Coturnix japonica: one gene and its partners. The protein of the gene in region 3 purifies or fractionates together with the protein of the main gene of each other region. This does not show direct contact. Links are inferred from orthologs where the notes say so. Each region holds a gene or a part of one and is shown on either strand. Other genes may lie near its edges.

Evidence for each region.
Region 1: the proteins of RPS6KA3 (region 3) and FGFR2 purify together in Homo sapiens (affinity purification with mass spectrometry; 3 studies listed by BioGRID and IntAct, counting the BioPlex papers as one, with this or other methods). This does not show direct contact. The link is inferred for Coturnix japonica from reciprocal best matches to the Homo sapiens genes RPS6KA3 and FGFR2.
Region 2: the proteins of RPS6KA3 (region 3) and FGFR1 purify together in Homo sapiens (affinity purification with mass spectrometry; 4 studies listed by BioGRID and IntAct, with this or other methods). This does not show direct contact. The link is inferred for Coturnix japonica from reciprocal best matches to the Homo sapiens genes RPS6KA3 and FGFR1.

What each region holds. Positions count from the first base shown.
Region 1 is NC_029521.1:27,582,224-27,585,873, reverse strand, and holds part of FGFR2 (fibroblast growth factor receptor 2), read left to right. Parts: intron 1-318; exon of another isoform or gene 319-338; intron 339-426; exon of another isoform or gene 427-443; intron 444-851; 5' UTR 852-930; coding exon 931-1,105; intron 1,106-3,650. UniProt on the Homo sapiens protein: Tyrosine-protein kinase that acts as a cell-surface receptor for fibroblast growth factors and plays an essential role in the regulation of cell proliferation, differentiation, migration and apoptosis, and in the regulation of embryonic development.
Region 2 is NC_029537.1:3,710,414-3,714,063, reverse strand, and holds part of FGFR1 (fibroblast growth factor receptor 1), read left to right. Parts: intron 1-38; coding exon 39-229; intron 230-1,534; coding exon 1,535-1,679; intron 1,680-2,556; coding exon 2,557-2,759; intron 2,760-3,121; coding exon 3,122-3,267; intron 3,268-3,650. UniProt on the Homo sapiens protein: Tyrosine-protein kinase that acts as a cell-surface receptor for fibroblast growth factors and plays an essential role in the regulation of embryonic development, cell proliferation, differentiation and migration.
Region 3 is NC_029516.1:105,979,912-105,983,561, reverse strand, and holds part of RPS6KA3 (ribosomal protein S6 kinase alpha-3), read left to right. Parts: intron 1-1,346; coding exon 1,347-1,508; intron 1,509-1,700; coding exon 1,701-1,777; intron 1,778-2,340; coding exon 2,341-2,458; intron 2,459-3,226; coding exon 3,227-3,367; intron 3,368-3,650. UniProt on the Homo sapiens protein: Serine/threonine-protein kinase that acts downstream of ERK (MAPK1/ERK2 and MAPK3/ERK1) signaling and mediates mitogenic and stress-induced activation of the transcription factors CREB1, ETV1/ER81 and NR4A1/NUR77, regulates translation through RPS6 and EIF4B phosphorylation, and mediates cellular proliferation, survival, and differentiation by modulating mTOR signaling and repressing pro-apoptotic function of BAD and DAPK1.

The DNA of each region.
Region 1 (3,650 bases), on a different chromosome or scaffold from region 3:
ACAAAACACTCAACTCCATCTATTGAAATTCATTTTATGGGGATTGAAATGAACTTCTTTCCCCCTTATCTGAAACCTGTATTTCATTAGGACCTTTGAAAAGAGGACGCTTGTGTGTGCATGCTGTGCAGCTGAACATGTATGAGTGGAAAATGATGCTGGGGAGGTCTCATGTGCAATTCCTGCCCAGGTTTATATGGCTGGAATGCAGTGTAGTTAACCAGTACCTCTGTGAAGATGGGACCCTGTTACCTGCATGGGGCGCTCAGATGTTAACTTGCACTGAACTGAGGTGGAAGAGGGTACACCTACAGGAGAGCTGGAATTACTGAGGCAAAGTAAGGTTTTATGGGCTGTCTGAGCGTAAGGAGTCTTTTTCAACTGTTATTATAGTGGAAAACTACTGAATTATTGAAACTTCAGCTGCCTGCGGATCCGCCTCGGTGAGGGAACGAAAAAGCTTACATAAACCTTCAAACAATAACAAGAATATCATTTGTATAATTGTGGTAATTTTGCAGCATTACAGGTTATGTGTCTGTACATGTGTGCGCCTTTATTATTATTATTATTTAAAATGTATATTTTTCTGTCGGTGAAAGAGCCCTAAATACGTGCTGAGAAGTGATTTTGTGAAAACAAGGAGGACTTGGTTACACCTCGGGTGATGATGGAAACTGCTAACAGAAAATGAAAAGTCACTCACTTTTCACATATACTTGAAGCTGGAAAAGTATTTTTCCCATCCTCCTCCTCCCCCCTTCTCCTCAGCTCTGTATGGGACTTTGTGGGGTTTTCTGCTTTGCATGTAGGGTGGTTTTGCTGACAGCATTTAATCTCTCTCCCTGCAGTCGCTGCCGTTCCCAGTGAGGAGGGATTGCCCTGGCCGAAGGCACTGCGTTCTGTCCATGCTCCTGTAGAGGTGCTCAGATGGGATTAAAGTCCACATGGAGATATGGAAATGGACCAGGAACTTACTCTAAAAAGATGGTCAGCTGGGATTTGGGTTGCCTTATCTGCCTGGTGGTGGTCACCATGGCTGGACTTTCCCTGGCTCGACCGTCGTTTAACTTAGTTGTTGAAGATGCCACTTTGGAACCCGAAGGTAAATCATTCTAGTGTACTTAATTCTGCAAAAGGAGTTAATTTTAAGTACGTCAACAGCTGAAATTGAAGTCAACAGCTTTATGCGCGTTGGTAAATAGAAGGCAAGTAACAGATTTGCCCTCAAGAGTTATGTTTTCCAACTTCTCCTATTCACACGCGGACTGTGTTCATGCAAGCATGCGTTTATTTAATCTTGTGCAAGCAGTGGTGTCAGTGATTTCACTTGGGACTGTCATCGCGTTGTATAATCACAGTGTACAGCTGAAAGCTTTCAGGAACGGGTCTTTAAGGAAACCTGTTGCGCTTATGTACCTGTTATGTATTGCTTAAGAAAGGACACCGCTGGGTAGCTGTACGTCACTGTGATTTGAACTACCTGGAAAGTTGGGAGGAAAAAGAAATGCCAGTTGTTTTTATTCGCATGCCCTGATTGTTTAGCTTTGCAGGGCACTCTGCAAAGGAAGATGTCGCGGCCCTATTGGTGTTTGTGGCTGGTTGCTATAAATTTCCCTTTTGTTGTTCATGTCCAAGAACAATCAGTACGCTGTCTGGACCGCTGGGTCTGGAAGTGCACATGAGGAGATCTGAATAGCAAGGAGAGATTATTGCTGTGAAAGCAAAAACTGATTGAAACCTTTGCACTGAAAGAGGTGCTCCGATAAAATCTCCTACCTTGAGCCTGCACCTGTTGGTATGTTCTTGTAGGTTATCCCACCTTCAAACTTTGCAAAGTGTTTTTCTTTATAGAGCTAAGGAAGGGCTGCTTTTCTTGTTGTCCTGAGCCACTTGTATTTGTCTCCATTTTATGGAGAGCGTAGGATCATTTCTGCCTGCTGAACACCCTGGGAAAAAGCAAGGCTTCCTTCTTCTAGTTTTATTTGTCATTTGGAGGGCTGATTGAATTTCTATTAACTGTCAAAACAACATAGTAACCCATAAACCATATTTCATCAGGCGAGCTTTCTGAGGGGAGTTTGGCCTATACGTGTCTTGCTGCCCACATCCAGCGATACAGCCTTGTTTTTACTCAGTCCACTTCCATGCAAAGCGTATTTGTTTCTATCCACTGCCTCTAAAAATAGACGTCACCAGCTAACGCGTTTCTAGACTCTCTTCCAAGTACATTTTTATTGATGGCAGGGGAAAAATTATTTAGAGACGATGAGCCCTCCTCCCTAGCAAGCGTTCCTGAAGCAAAATGAATGCAGCGTAGCAATATTGTCATCTGTCACGGGCAGAGACTGTTGATGGCAAAGCCTTTTTGGTTCGTCCCCTCCCCTTCTGAAGGTAACATGAGAATTTGAGAAAGCTCAACTCTCATCACCGCTTACTGTATGTTTTGTTAATTGCACATCTGGTGCCGTTTTGGCTTTTCAGAGGAGTGACAAAATCAGGGATAGTTCTGGTTTCAGATGGGCTGTTTGTAGGGAGGTCCATTAGTTTTAGGGCTAAACAGGGAAGAATGTGATTGCGTGAATCATGCAGGAAGAAAGGTTAAAATATTTAACTTATGCTTTAACAGTTTTCTTTTCAAAATATGCTTTTTCCATGAGGAATATCCAATGGGTGAGAATCAAAGAGTAAATTGCTAAAAACCTACTGAAAACTTCTTCCCTGGGCAGGAATGTTAACATACATGAGATGATTTTAGATGTAAGAACTTGAGTTGTTACAAGAAAGAGCTTCTCAGTTAATGGTATAATATTAATGGTATAATAAGAGCTTTTATGCTGTAGAGTACAGGCAATTGTGTGGGATTTATATCTGAGATTTGGGAAATAAAACCTCTTTTATGTACTTTGTTAAACCCTACTCTAAAAAAAAAAAACACAACAAAACCCACTCTTTACTGAATCACCTTCGTTGGTTCCATCACTGCCACCCACAAGCTCTTGGTGCTGAAAGGAGAACAAAACGCTCTTGTAAAAAAATCTCTTCAAAGACAAAGCTGACTTTTATTGTTATTATTTTTTTAATTTAGTGAATGCCAAACATTTTGGTCACAGCTAATTTGAGGCAGTCAGGTGCTCCAAATCTTATGCTTTTGGTTGGGTGACTGACTGAGCAGTCATTAGGACAGTGACATTTTAGACCAGCTGAGAAGGTCGCCAGGGCTGTGACCTTTTGTGACATACTTTGATCTGTTCCTTGGTCTTTCTTCATGGACATGCCCTGGATTTTGTCTTTTTTTGGTGCTAAGTGCTTGTATTGTTGTTCTTTATTGTCTTAGTGACTCAGAATATTCAAGAAGCTGCATGCAATGTTAACAGGAATTGAGATTGTGGCTTTTGTTCCTTCAGCTGTAATAAATAAACCCTGGTTGAAATACAGTCATCTCTTAGCTAAACACAACTTAGGGGACCACTTTCTTTGGGGTCTGTATTTCAATACCTGCTTTAGCACAAGCAGTATTCATCTCTCAGGGTAATGAGCTGCATAGCTGTGTGTACACGTGCACCGAGGTGTTTTGTTTTGTTACCTGCAGTTTATCTGATCCCTTTGGTAGCACCTTTCTCTGAGCTGCTTTCATACAGTGTCGGGCT
Region 2 (3,650 bases), on a different chromosome or scaffold from region 3:
TTGCTCGTGCTGAGGTCCCCATCCCTCCATCCCTGCAGAGCGCTCCCCGCACCGGCCCATCCTGCAGGCAGGGCTCCCAGCCAACAAAACAGTGGCCCTGGGCAGCAACGTGGAGTTCGTCTGCAAGGTCTACAGTGACCCACAGCCCCACATCCAATGGCTGAAACACATCGAGGTGAACGGCAGCAAGATCGGCCCCGACAACTTGCCCTACGTGCAGATCCTAAAGGTAACGCTGCACACACACCGGGCTGCCTCAGCCCGGGTCTCTATGGGGTCAGTGCTCTCCCTGGGCACAGCTGGGGACATGTAAGGTGGCATCGAGGCATCTGGAGCCCCACCAGCCCTACCTGCTCTGCTCTGGGCTGTCCTGGAGGAGCTGGGTGAGAGGCAGGGGGCAGCAGGCAGCGGTGCACTCGTCCTTTGGATCCCTGAAGGTGTACGCCATGGGCTGGGTGGGTGCTGGGGGCAAACATGGGGCAGGTTGCTCAGTCCAGGCACAAGCAGTGCCCTCAGCCCCTCTGCAAAGCCTGGGGTGTGTGAACATCCCCATCCATGCCAAGCTTCCAGGGCACATGGCCATCCCCAGCTGTGTCCCCATGCCCAGGGCTCATGGCCACCCTCAGCCCTAAGGCACACAGCCACCCTCAACCATATGGGGCACATGGCCATCCCCAGCTGTGTCCCCAGGCCCAGGGCTCATGGCCACCCCCAACCATATGGGGTGCATGGCCATCTCCAGCTGTAGTGCACATGGCCATCCACACCCCAAGGTGCACCCACCCCTGATGCACTGTAGCAGGTTTATGGTCCCCTGGCTCACCACAACCCCATGGCCCCCAGCCTTGTGCTGGCACCATCGCTCCGGGCGCTGTGGTTTCTGACCCCATCGATGTGACTCCTCTGTTGTTGGTCTGTTCCAGCACTCGGGAATTAATAGCTCTGATGCGGAGGTGCTGACCCTGTATAATGTGACAGAGGCGGAGAGCGGGGAGTATGTTTGTAAGGTTTCCAATTATATTGGCGAGGCCAACCAGTCTGCGTGGCTCACTGTCACCAGACCTCTGGCAAAAGGTAATGGGAAGGATGCCCAGTGGGACGCTTCTGGGACCACCTTGTCCCCAGTGGTGGAAAACACAACTCTGGGCTCTCTCGTTTCTGCTGTATTTCTGGTGCAAAAAAAGCCATGGAAAAATACCCCGTGGGGCCGGCTGGGCTGTGTGTAGTGTCCCCCTATGTGCTGTCCGTGCTGTCCCCTATGTCTCCATCCTTGTGACACCCAGCCGGCCCTTCCCCGAGCTCTATTTTTCCATGTGGCCCATTACCAGCATGCTCCGATGGGCAGGACCGTTGGTGAAGGGTTTATATGGTCTCTTTAGGTCCACCCGGATGAGCGGTCATCCGGAGGGTCTCTGCCAGGGGGTCTCCAAGGTCTCTGTCTGCTCCCATATGAGGCTGCTCCCTCCTCTCTGCCTCTCCCCAGAAGATCTCATGTCGTTTGCTTCTCCCTTTTGCTTCCACTCTCCCCCTCTAGACGGCTGGCGTTAACACGACAGACAAAGAGATGGAGGTTCTGTACTTACGGAATGTCACTTTTGAGGATGCTGGGGAGTATACATGTTTGGCGGGTAATTCTATTGGGATCTCCCATCACTCTGCATGGTTGACAGTTCTCGAAGGTATATACTCTTCTTCCTGTCCTTATCCTCCCTTGTTTCCACGTGTGTCGGATGCATTGCTGGGGCTGTCGCTTTGCTGTGTGTCGATGTGCTGCTCGGCCATCGATGCTGTGCGGATCCACGCCTGATACAGCAGCCTTGGGGAAGCTTTTGGGGCGCTGCGTGGGCGCCGCTCTGCTGCCAAAAGCTTTGCCCGTAATCAGCCGCTGCTTGGGTGCACTGTGAGGTGGTGCTGCTGGGAACATGAGGTTTCAACTCTTCCACCTCTCTCTCAGCCTCTGTTCTTTGGGGGGGGGGTCAGGTTTGGGCTGCTGGGTTTGTGGCTGTGCCATTCATAGCACTGCCACCCCCCCAGATCACAAGGTGGGGGCGTGCTGTGGTGCATAAGGATGGGACCCCCCCCACCTCCAGCCCCCATCCTGCAGCACATCACTGCTGCTGCTGTTGCTACAGGTGCTTCTGGCTGCTCAGCTCCACCTCCCAACACCCATTGGAGCCACACGGCCCCTGCGGGCCACTGTAACCACAGATCCCAATGGCTGTGCAGCTCAGCCCCACAGGGCGGTGGGTGCAGGGGAGCATCCCCACATGGTCCCCATGGTGCCATCCCACATAGAGTGGGAATGGGCACGAACCCCCTGCTTCACAACCTGCAGTTCACCCCTTCCTGCCCCAGGCACCTGGGTGCATCCCAAGGGTATGGGTATGGGTACAATGCTTATCCCAAGGCTGTGGGTGCAGTGCCCACCCCATGGTCTGACCACTCCCTGCTGCATGTGGGAGCATCCCACACCAGCCCTCACCTCTGCTGAGAGGAGCCGGGTTCTGCCCAGCCCCACTCTTGGCTTCCACTGATGCCCTCCCTGTGCCAACCCAGCTATTGAGGACTCACCGGCCATGATGACGTCCCCCCTCTATCTGGAGATCATCATTTACTGCACCGGCGCGTTCCTCATCTCCTGCATGGTGGTGACAGTCATCATCTACAAGATGAAGAGCACCACCAAGAAGACTGACTTCAACAGCCAGCTGGCTGTGCACAAGCTGGCCAAGAGCATCCCACTGCGCAGACAGGTAACAGAAAGTAGAGAGGGGGTTTCTTGGCTCTTACTGCCCCTCCCCAAAGAATTGGCACCATGGCCAACCCTTGCCATGCTTGTGTGCATGGCCCCATGGCAATGAGGCAATTAACCAGGAGGCATTATGGCAATTTAATATTGAGACAAAGAGTGCGTGCTGCACACCAGGGACCCCCAGGCTGTGTGTTTTGTGGTACCAGCAAGCAACAAATCAATTACAGTTGATACAGTTGTGCTCCAATGGGGAGCAGCAGGGAACCCACAGTGTTCAGGAGTTGGGGGGTCCCGGTCAGCGTTTCCCCATTGGGAACGGGTGGCCGTGGCCCCAGCACTGCGTGAAGGTAACCCACAGCCCTGCTGCAGGTGTCGGCTGACTCCAGCTCCTCCATGAACTCGGGTGTGATGTTGGTGAGGCCCTCACGGCTCTCCTCCAGTGGAACCCCCATGTTGGCCGGTGTATCCGAGTATGAGCTGCCCGAGGACCCACGCTGGGAGCTGCCAAGGGACAGGTGGGGATGGGATGGAGTGGGGTAGGGTGGGATAAGATGGGATGGTGTGAGTTGAGGTGGGGTGTGATGGGATGGGATGGGATGGGATGAGGTGGGATGAGGTGGGGTGTGATGGGATGAGATGGGTTAAGGTGGAGTGTGATGGGATGGGATGGGATGAGGTGGGATGAGATGGGATGGATTTAGGTGGGCTGTGATGGGTTGAGATGGGTTGAGGTGGGGTGAGGTGGGATGGGATGGGTTGAGGTGGGATGGGATGGGTTGAGGTGGGATGGGATGGGTTGAGGTGGGATGGGATGGATGGGGCAAGGTGATGGCACTGAGGTGATGGCACTGAGTGTGGTGGCCGTCCTGCTGTCCCAGCACGGCATTATGTCTGTCTG
Region 3 (3,650 bases):
TCTTCCTTTTAGAATTTATTTCAAAAAACAAGCAGGAACAACTGGAATAAAATTAGAGTGACTTTTCTTTTGTCTCCTGGATCAATAAGGGATGTTTTGCTCATGATGTAGAGTAAAAATGTTTCTAATCTCCAGAAAATGAGGCTCTCAGGAGTCATGTTTATTTAAATTCTCAGTAGGAGTTTAAATCCATTATATGGTTTAGAGCCCTATGTACTCCTTTCTACACAGAGCTGTGTCTCTTGAACCCTTAAGCTAATTTGTCGTGTGCAGAAGATGGAGCAGATACAATATGCCATCTGATTTATGTCTTTTCACTTTACAAGTTTTAGTTAGGCATATTATAGCATAGCTTCATATAAGATCAGATTCATTCTTCCAGAACCTCAGCAGATTTTACAGTTTTTCCCAAGTGTTTTACTTTCCAAATACATGAAAAGCAGGCACTGGGGAGCCAGTATAGGCCTGTATAAAATGTTAGCTTGTTTGGAGATTATAATATTCTGTATTAAAATTCCTCCTCAATTGGGCTGTGGGTGTTTGCACAAAGATTATTCAGTTTAGATAACCTAAATTATAGAAAGTTACTCCAGCAGTAACTGATGTGTAGTTATATGATAGAGTGGTGCTACAGAAATCATAGAATCATAGAATGGTTTGGGTTGGAAGGGACCTTTAAGATTACCTACTTCCAGCCCCCTGCTATAGGCAGGGACACCTCCCTCTATACCAGGTTGCTCAGAGCCCATCTGGCATGATCTAAAATGCTTCCAGGGAGTGGGCAACCTGTTCCAGTGCATCACCACCCTCACAGTAAAGAATTTCTTCCTAATATCTAGTCAAATCTACCCTTTGCCAGTTTAAAACCATTTTGCTTTGTCTTGTTGCTACCTGCTCTTGTAAGAAGTCATTCCCCAGCTTTCATGTAGGTCACTTTCAGGTACTGAAAGGCCGCTATAAGGTCTCCTGTTCTGAAGCCCTGGTTCTCAGGTTCTGATCTAAAGAGCTTTGTAGGTACAGTATGCATGTTAAAATAAGAAGTGCATGTAACTGTTAAATCGAGACAGCTTGATTTGTCTCCATAACTAAATGTGTGCACCAAGTTTGTTTTTGCTGAGTTCTTCCTTTTGGTGAGGGTTAGAATGAAGAGGAGGTGGTTTCCAAATGAGATTTTCACTACTCCAGGTGGTACAGCCAGAGTGCTATAGCTAATAGTAGAAGCTTGAAATTGGACTATGATTACTCATGGAAGGTATTAAGTAGAATAAATAATTAAAATGTAAAGCCTATTCCTGTTTTAAGCTTACTGTATTTCATGGTTTGTTTTGTTTGTGTTTTTTTCCTAGGTTGTCCATAGAGATCTGAAACCCAGCAATATTCTTTATGTTGATGAATCCGGTAATCCAGAATCAATTCGAATTTGTGATTTTGGCTTTGCAAAACAATTACGAGCAGAAAATGGCCTTCTGATGACTCCGTGTTATACAGCAAATTTTGTTGCACCAGAGGTACATACCAGGGTAGCTTATATGCCTTGATTTCTTTTGGTGGGAACACTTGGATAGGTGTTCATTTCATTCTTCAGCAGCAAGTGAATTAACTTGAAAAAGAATTAAAGAATCAGATCTTGGTGTTTTTATATCATGACCAAAGCATTTCTAAGCACTTTTTTTTACAGAAAAAATATCTGTCTCCTTCAGGTTTTAAAGAGACAAGGTTATGATGCTGCGTGTGACATCTGGAGTCTTGGTGTTCTGCTATATACTATGCTTACTGGGTAAGGGTTTTTTGTTTGTTCACTTCCTTTGCTTTATAATAGCAAACAAGAATAGTGAGTGTGAACCCACTGTGACTGTGTTTCTAGAAGGGAACTGATAAATCTCAATTACAACTCCAGGGAAGTTAAATATGCTTCACCTTTAGTAGAATCCAAATTTGAAGGAACTGATGTCTCATCTGTTTCAGGTCTTTAAATTCTTCTTTATTGTGATTTAGATGTAAAAATTGTTTTATTTTTCCATTAAAATTAGCTGATTAAACAGTGTATGTTTTGAAGGAAATATGTTGCAAGCACAATTGCAGAGCTTTGAAACATAGTTGTGAGGAAAATTCAGCTACTGGATGGTTTGAAGTGTTGCACTTAAGGAATAATAAATGCAATAGAAATACATTTATGTATGCAGAAGAAATGATTTGTATAAAAGGTGATAAATGGCTAATTCAACTATGGTTCCACAAGTTCAGAAAAGAGCTGCTGTTGCACTTGCTAAGTAGGTTATTTTGTGCTGGTTTGTTCTATTCATCCTTTTTTTTGTCTTAAAATTTTGTTTGGTTAAATAGCTACACTCCTTTTGCAAATGGTCCTGATGATACTCCAGAGGAGATCCTGGCCCGGATAGGTAGTGGAAAATTCTCTCTGAGCGGTGGTTATTGGAACACTGTTTCAGATACAGCTAAGGCAAGTATATTTGCTTTGTTCTGTGAGAGATGAATCATAGAATCATAGAATTACCCAGGTTGGAAAAGACCTTGAAGATCATCAAGTCCAACCGCAGCCTAACCAGTACCCTAACTATATGAGAAATATACTTCGATGAAATACATTGCTGATAATGTCTACATAATAAATATTACCCATTGTTATTTTTAATTACTGGGCTGATTTTTATATGCTTAGAATTTTTTCTGTTTATGATCCGTTCGCGTTTCAATGGTCACTTGCATGTAGGGTGAAAATCAGGTGTGCTTAAAAAGATGGTGTATTTTCACACATGTGCAATCATCTGTGTCAAGAAAGGCTGTAATTAAATATCATGTCAAAAAATGACATTCAGAAGTCCTAAACTGGGATAGTGAAAATATTGAAATAATTACTGTATGTCCCTCTGGTTCAGGCTAGGAAAAATATTGTCACGTTTGTGTAGGGCTAGTTCTTCAGTTACCCACGACAGTTCATCTCATGTTCTTTCATGAGGACTTGAGCAGTTTATTCTCCTTAGTACTGAGATTCAACCTGCAGTTTGCACAGTTGTTAGAAGACTGTTGGACACTGGTAAAATACACAAGGGAAAGGGTCATCTCAATGTTCTGTTGTTTCTTTTTCACTTTTGTTGCCTAATTAAGTTACCTAACCAAATGACATAGTGTTAGCCTTGTCAGGCAGCTTTTCATCTGCTTCAAAATGATGCTATGAACAAATGTTTATGCTACTCCTTGTTATTGACAGGATCTTGTTTCAAAAATGCTTCATGTTGATCCCCATCAAAGACTGACTGCAGCCCAGGTTCTCAGCCATCCCTGGATCGTTCACTGTGACCAGTTGCCTCAATACCAGCTGAACAGGCAGGATGCTCCCCATTTAGTTAAGGCAAGTAGATATTTGTTCATCTAACTGGCCAAAATCAGAGTAAACCAAAGGATTCTTTTAATTACTGTAGCACTTTTCCTTTAATTAATTTTAACAATTATGACTACAAATTGCTTTTGGACACAGCATGATCTTCTAACATATAGTAATAACTCATTTGCTGTGAATAAATCTAATGTTTGACAAAGACTTAAGTTTTCTTCGATTTTAAAGTTATTACGCTTCAACTATTTAACTTATCTCCCTTAAGAAACAAGGATAGAAATCATTTTTCGGATAGTGA